2 linked regions of the Sus scrofa genome follow. The protein of the gene in region 1 interacts with the protein of each later gene in a biochemical or structural test. Links are inferred from orthologs where the notes say so. Each region holds a gene or a part of one and is shown on either strand. Other genes may lie near its edges.

The links.
Region 2: of the proteins of ELK1 (region 1) and MAPK8, one has a biochemical effect on the other in vitro, tested with the Homo sapiens proteins (3 studies listed by BioGRID). The link is inferred for Sus scrofa from reciprocal best matches to the Homo sapiens genes ELK1 and MAPK8.

What each region holds. Positions count from the first base shown.
Region 1 is NC_010461.5:42,172,121-42,176,496, forward strand, and holds the start of ELK1 (ETS domain-containing protein Elk-1), read right to left. Parts: upstream 2,845-4,376; 5' UTR 2,646-2,844; intron 1-2,645. Other genes in the region: protein UXT, read right to left, coding at 4,067-4,117, 4,331-4,376. UniProt on the Homo sapiens protein: Transcription factor that binds to purine-rich DNA sequences. Forms a ternary complex with SRF and the ETS and SRF motifs of the serum response element (SRE) on the promoter region of immediate early genes such as FOS and IER2.
Region 2 is NC_010456.5:89,072,282-89,075,930, reverse strand, and holds part of MAPK8 (mitogen-activated protein kinase 8), read right to left. Parts: intron 653-3,649; coding exon 594-652; intron 509-593; coding exon 370-508; intron 1-369. UniProt on the Homo sapiens protein: Serine/threonine-protein kinase involved in various processes such as cell proliferation, differentiation, migration, transformation and programmed cell death.

The sequences.
Region 1 (4,376 bases):
CTCACCATCTGATGCCCCCCCCCGCCCCCACATCTTTCTGACCTTGGCTCCCCTCTCTCCCTCCACTCTGCTCCAGCCACACTGGCCTCCTTCATGGCCCTTGAACTCGCCAGGCACAATCCTACCTCAGGGCCTTTGCACTGGCTGTTCCTTCCACCCAGTACACTCTTCCCCTAGACATTAAGGCTCCCTTCCTCAACTCCTTGGAGCCTTAATTCAAGAGTCACCTTCGAAGTGAGGCCTGCCCTGTGCCTAAGATTTCGATCATCGCGAGACGCCACTCTGACTTTCCCTACTTCCCTTGTCTAACAGACTATCTAATCTGACTTCTTTATTTATATAGTCTGTCGCCCCCACTCTGAGCAAACGTCTGCTCCCCAAAGGCACGAATTTCTGCCTAGTCTGTTCCCTCCCATATCCCCGGCGCCTAGAAGGGTCCCTGGTACTCAGTACATGCTCAGTCAGTGTTGGCCGAATGAACTTAACTAGGTCCCTTATGCCCTTTTCATCTTCATCTGCTCCCTCCCCCCACCCGGATTTGTCTGAAATGATATTCTTTTCCTCGTGCATGTGTGCCATAACATCTTAGTGAGTACCTGCTACATAGTAGGCATATTTCTGGGTGCTGGAGACTTGGGGGTAAATCTGCAGATAAAAAAACACTCCCTCAGGGAGACTCCCATTTTAATGGGCAAAGACAATAAATGTGATAAAGTGGGAAACTCTACAGCGTGTCTGGCAGAGACGGGGCCTGGGTTCTGCTCGATGTGCAGGTTCAGACAGTCAGGGACGGGCTGACATTTGAACAAAGCCCTGAAAAGAACCACGCAGAGACGGGGATAGAGTGTTCCTGGCAGAAAAAAAATAGCCAACGCAAAGGCTGGATCTCACCTGGCATGTGTGAGGATGAGTGAGGAGGTCAGTGTGACTGGAACGGAATGGGGGGGGGCTGTGTGGGTGGGTAGGAGGTAAGGCCAGAGAGCTTACTGGCAGGCATGCTCTATGCTGGAGGGGGTTCTAGCTCCGAGTCCCCCATTTTACAAATGAGGGAACAAGTGAGGACAGACCGTGGTTAAACCATTTAAGGTCGTGTAGCTGCTAGGATTGGGGGTGGATGGGTTTTGAGACAAGGTGTGGGGTGGAGACAGCTCGGCAAGCCAAGGGCACAGCAAAAACAAAAGGCTTGGAGATGGGAGTGATTTAGCTTTTAAGGAGAGAGGCCTTGGGGGGGGGGCGGGGGTAGGATGAAGAGTGAGAGGAAAGTCTCAAAAATGCTCTGAGGGGCAACCTAACCTGGTACCTATGGCATCACCTTTGAGTAAGGAATTAAACCTCCCTGTGCCAAACGTTCCTCGGTCCCTATCTCAGGGGGTGGATGAAATGAGCTAACATTAAGCATTCAGCCTGGTACCCAGTAGGAGGTCAATAACCAGTAGCGTCTATAGGCATTATCGCTACTGCTAATGTATTCATTTCCTGGAGTGAGGCGGGATGTTTTAATGGTTAACAGTGTGTAAGAGGGGGGTGTGTTCTAGAGTAAAAAAAGACCTCGGTTCAACAAGCACACAGGCTGATCCACTACTAAGAAGGAGGGAGAGTGGCAGGGAAGGCCACAGACTGACCCACCCCAAGGGCCAACCCTCCTGGAGGGACTGCATAGCACTGGACTCACACGAGGGTGTACCCAACGGGTGTAAAGGCAAGCACATGGGTGGCAGGAAGTCCAATAAACAGATCCACTGCAAAGGGGTGGGTGGGTGGGTGTGTGTGTGTGTGTATGTGTGTGTGTAAAGGCTCATCTTATTTACTAGGGGCAAGGAGAGCAGAGAAACACACTGATTCCTGCACGATAATGGAAGAGAGAAAAACCATCACACAGACTGATTATAAGGAGAAGGGGACAAGGCCAGGGACTGGGCTACTGAAATGGGGAGATATAAAGGTCTAAACTAACCCACTATTCAAAGCAAGGGAGAAGCCCAGGCACTGGAGTGACAGTCTACAAAAAAGGGAGGATAGGGTGATGGGCTGATATGCAGGGGGACATGAATACAAGCATGTAGACTGATCCACTGTAAAAATGGTGTGTGTGTGTGTGTGTGTGTGTGTGTGTGTTAAAGCCATGGATTGATGCACTGGGGGACTGGAGGCAGGAATACAAATTCACAGGTTAACTCCCTGTTAAGGGGGGGGGTACAACGCCACGGAGTGACTCACAAGGAAGAGTAGGGATGGGAAAAACAAGGCCACAGACGGGGGCCGCTGAAACTTGAGGACCTGAGAAATACAAACACTCAGACGGACCTACTGTCAAAGAGTTAGACGCTGCCAGAGAACGGCACCCTCCAAGCCGGGGTTGGGGGGCAAGACCACGGACGAGTCTACTGTAAGGGGGGGTGGGGAGAAATACAAGCACTAAGACCGATCCATTTTAAAACAGGAAGGGGGGATTAGGCCACGGTCAGATCCACTACAAGGGGCGAAGGGACGGGACGATGCCACAGGCAGGTCCACCAGCCGTGGCGGTGGCAGTGAGGAGCCGAACACCAGAAGGCCATGGGCCAAGCCACATCCCCCGGCGCGGGGGCGGGAAGGATACGTGGGGTCAGGGACCGGGCCCTCAACCCTCCAGGCCCCGGGCTCACCTGTGCGTAGCGCTGCGGTGGTGTTGGCAGCTCCGGGGGGCGGGGGCTCCATGCGCGGCCCCACCGCCCCCCAGGCCCGGGATCCGAGGCGGCGGTGGCGGCGGCGGTGGCGGCGGCGGCGGCGGCGGCAGCGGCGGCGGCGGCAGCACCTAGAAGCCGCCCCTGCGTTTCCCCACCGCTCACGTGGGCCCGTAAAGGAGGAGCTGAGCTTTCAGCCGCTCGCTGATTGGTCAAAGCGCCACGGATCGACCGCGCGGCTTCCAGGGTTGGGGAGGCGGACCCTGCCCCATAGGGCCTTGCTGGGATTGGCCCTAGGGGAACTGACGGAACGCAGCCGGCCTCCTGGGTTCCGAGGGGGCGTGCTCGGCCCCGCCGACGCTCACCGCTGATTGGCTCAGGAGAGACTGCTAGGCCGTGGGCGATTGACAAGGTTCCGGGGGTGCCTGCCTCGCAGTGATTGGCCTATATGAGATTGATGGAAGACGGCCAGCCTCCGAGGATAGAAGTGGTTAGGCTCTGCTTCCTGCTGATTGGCGGGCGATGGACGCCTAGACAGCTGCCAAAACACCAATGGGCGGTGCCGAACTCCACGCAGCCCAGCGGAAGCAGGACTTGTATAGAAGTACACAGGCTAGCAGCCCCGCTGGGAGGAGGTCTGACCAGGGATCTGCGGAGGCGGGCAGGCTAACTCTGTGGCGATTGGCTAGAAAAGACGAATTTAGAACGAAGCAGAGGAAGGAGGGCAGGACAGCTGCCAGACGTGCGAAGGAGTGTTGAGTGGTGGAAACGAAATGCCTACAAGGGCAGGGTCGAGCTGCAGCCAGTAATAAAGGGGTGGAACCTGGCTCTGTATCGATTGGCGGAAGCTGGATTCAGCCTAGAATGAGGACCGGACCAGGGAGGGCGGGCGAGATCGGCCCTGCGCCCATTGCTGGAGCTGTAACTATTTAGAAGCTGGGACAAGGCCAAGGTTGGGCCTAGACGGGCGTGGGTGTAATTTAAGTTACCTGAGGAACGATTGGAGTGTGGGAGAAGGGTAAACTTTAGGGCCAGGAGTGAAAGGTTGATTGCCTTAGGGAACAAACCGCCACCCTGAATCGGCCCGTTCTCTATGGTTAATTCAAGCAGTAGTGCACAGGAAAGGAAATAGAAAGAAGGGTCAGGTGGGGGCCCAGGTTGCCAAGGCGATGGTAGAGAGGGCAGAGCGGAAAGTCAGGTGGCACATTCTGCCAGGAAACAGGCTGGAGGCGGCACTTCAGTGGTGCTTTAAAGATTCTACACAGACTGGATCTCTGCGCCTCCCAGTAACATTGTGCTTTAGAAACGGCACTTTAGCCAACAGCAGAAGTTAATGGGGGAAAGAAGGGCCACGTGACTCAAAGACATTCAGGCTCTTTAATGTCAAGGGAGGTAGGAAGAAGTCAGTGGCGAGGCTCGGGGAAATTCTGCAGACCTTGTAGTTCTCTAAGCCCCTGAAAAAGAGAACAGAAGAGATTGAACGGAGACTGGGTCCAGGCCCCACCTCAGGCTTGCTTGGAACTCCCTTCCCTCAGAGCCAGCCTGGTTCCTGTCTGACTCATTTGGAGGGAAAGATGGCCCTTCCCATCTCTGGCTCTCTCCCTTCCTCAGGACACCACCCTAAATATTTGGAGATAGAGTCTGGGAGTGGGGTGAGCTGCTCTCACCTCTAGCAACATGTGGATATGGGCCTTGATATTCATGGAGTCCTTG
Region 2 (3,649 bases), on another chromosome or scaffold:
GTGGACGGACTTGAAAATACCATGCTAAGTTAAAGAAACCAAACATAAGAGGTCAAAGAGGTCAGGTGTTATATGATTCCACTTATATGAAATATCCAGAAAAGGTAAATTCATTGACACAGAAAGCAGAATGGTAGATGACAGGGATTGGAGTAAAAGGGGAATGGGAGTGACTGCTTAATGGGTAGGCAGTTTTCGTTTGGGGAAATGCAATGAAATTATTTTGAAATTTGATACTGGTAGTAGTTGTACACTATTGTGAATGCACTAAATATCACTGAATTGTACACTTTAAGATGGTTAATTTTACATTACATGAATTTCACCTCAATGATTAAAAAGAGAATATGATTGTTTTTTTCTACTAACCCGATGAATAATTCCAGCAGAGTGAAGGTGCTTGATTCCACAAAGCATCTGATAGAGAAGGTAAGACATTCTTTCATGATCTAGTTCCATCTGAATCACTTGACAAAGATTTGCATCCATGAGCTCCATAACTATGTAACTTCATGGGTGAAAAAAGATGACAGCTAAAGTATACAGTAATAATTGAAGAGTAATATACTAAAAATTTTAATTATCATACTCACACATCTTGAAATTCTTCTAGGGATTTCTGTGGTGTGAAAACATTCAAAAGGCCAATTATCTGCAGTAAAAGCAGAGAAATGGGAAAATTAGAAATTACATTACTCAATATTTTCATTTGGGAACTGCAAATAAATGGATTTATTTATTTATTTTTATTGTTTATTTATTTATTTATTTTTTGCTTTTTAGAGTTGCGACTGCAGCATAATAAGGTTCCCAGGCTAAGGGTCCAATTGGAGCTACAGCTGCCAGCCTATGCCACAGCCATAGCAACATAGGATCTGAGCTGAATCTTCGACCTACACCACAGTTCATGGCAATGCCAGATCCGTAACCCACTGGGCGAGGTCAGGGATCAAACCGGCAACCTCATGGTTCCTAGTCGGATTTGTTTCTGCTGCACCAAAATGGAAACTCCGTGGATTTTTTTTTTCTTTTTTTTAAGCCACTCTCAAAGAGTTCTCTGGTGGCTCAGTGGGTTAAGGATGTGGTGTTGTCACTGCTGTGGTGTGGGTTCAATCCCTGGCCTGGGAACCTCCAGGTGCCATGAGTGCAGCCAAAAAAACAAACAAACAAAACACCTCTCAGTGTAAAATTTTTTCCAGACTTCTGTTCTAAGCTCAAGTAATCTCTCTTATTTTATACATTAAAACTTTATCAGGAGTTCCCACTGTAGCTCAGCGAATTACGAACCTGACTAGTATCCATGAGGACATGGGTTTGATCCCTGGCCTCACTCAGTGGGTTAAGGATCCAGCACTGCCAAAAGCCATGGTGTAGGTCACAGACAAGGCTCAAGGCCTGTGTTGCTGTGGCTGTGGCTGTGGCTGGCAACTGCAAATCTGATGTGAACTGCCCTAGCCTGGGTACTTCCATATCCTGAAAATGCGGCTCTGAAAAGCAAAACAAAACAAAAAACCCAAAGACAAACTTTATGGCCAGTGTATGGGGGCAAACAGTAGGGAAGCAGAGCAAAGAGGCTCTGTAAGGCAGTGAAAATACTCTGAATGATACTATAATGGCATACATTATGTCATTATACATCTGTCCAAACGTATAAAATGTACATCACAAGAGGGAACCCTAATGTAAACTATAGACTTCCAGTAATAAAGATATGTCAATGTAGGTCCACTAATTATAACAAATATACCATTCTGCTAGGAAATGTTAATAATCTGGGAAGCTATGCATGTGTGGGAGTAGGGGGGTATATGGGGTATCTCTGTACCTTCCTTTCAATTTTGTTGTGAATCTAAAAAAATAACCCTTAAAGATTATATCAACAGAGTATCTCAAGATCCATTCCATTAATGAACACTCAATTACCAAGGACCTACATTATATAATCCTCTACATAATTTGTAAGCAAATCTTAAACATCTTCTGTCAGCTCTTACCCAACTCCATACCTCTATATAATTGCAGTCCTTTTGCCCCTTGGTTTTTCTTAATATTACACTTTCCCAACTTTACTACTAGTCCATTAGTACATCCATAGGCATGTCCTCTCTACCACTATTCTGTCTTAATCTTTCTCCTTTATCTGTACCTTTTTCCTGGGTGGTATTATGTATATGTTCTTATCCAAACATCTCTATGGATAATTCCCAAATATGCATTAAAAGTCCCTGCTTAGCTTACGATTCTCAAATTTTCATTGCTATTCACATGACGCTTCATAAAACAATATAAAATTGAATTCATTATTGTTCCTACCCAAACCCCTTGCTTTTCCAGAGTGTCTTCTTTTACAATAGAAAGATAAAAATGACTTTTTACTTTTTTTTTCAATATTTGCACCATAATAAGTATTTAAAAGAATGCTATCCATTTTATCGTCAGTCTAAACTTCAACGTCTTCCTTCCACTCCCTGTGCTACTACACACACTGAGGATTCTAACACTGCTCATGCCATAATAACTTCTAACACTTGGTTCCCTAATGGTTTTCTGCAAGTCCAGCCACTATTTTACTGCCTCTACTATATGGTAATCAAAAGACCTGATCACATTACTTACTTTCTCAAAAACGTAATGCCAACAAAAAAATTCCGAAAGTCTCTGGCAGTACATTCAAAGCCTGCCATGACAGGACATCGACCCACTTCATCTCCTGCTAAGCCATACTAAATTAGTTTAATTTAGCCATACTAAATTAGTTTAAAGAATGTTGTTCTTTTAAAAAACTGTCAAGGCATTTAAACATACTATTCTCTATATTTGTCATTAACCTACTAACCTCTAACTACTAAACCTTCAAAACAGGCCACTTTTGTAGGGCTTGACAACCCTTAGTCCTTGACAGAGCTGAGTATTCTACTTGTCTCCACAATATCTTATGTTATAATGACATTTAACACCCTGTAGTATAGTCTTACTTCCACAACATCCTATTTCCCTTTATAATTGTGGCATATAGGAAAATACTTGACATATATTTTTGAAATGCCTATCTTTTATATTTAGGAATGGGAATGTTTTTCTCAATATAAACTTTATAAGGGCAGAATCTATGTTACTCATTTAAGCATAAAGCTTTGCTTATAGAAGCCATTCAAATATTTATTTGTTCAGTGAATAAATTCAGAAAAATAATTTTCAGATCAGAGAGTAGGAGTTCCTGTTATGGCACAGCAGAAACGAATCCAACTAGGAATCATGAGGTTGTGGGTTCAATTCCTGGCCTCACTCAGTGGATTAAGGATCCAGTGTTGCCGTGAGCTGTGATGTGGGTCGCAGACACAGCTCGGATCTGGCGTTGCTGTGGCTGTGGCGTAGGCCAGCGGCTACAGCTCCAATTGGACCCCTAGCCTAGGAACCTCCATATGCCGTGGGTGCAGTCCTAAAAAAGACAAAAGACCAAAAAAAAAAAAAAATCAGAGAGTAAAACAAATTTGTTTAAGACAGAGGAAATGATAATAAGTATCTAGTGGCTCTAAATGAATTCTTATCTCCTAAATAGAAGAATCATATATTGGACAGACTTGGAGAAACAGTAAAACTCTTCTAGTTAATATCTGGGAAATCCCAGAAGAGAAGAGATGTGCTAAAG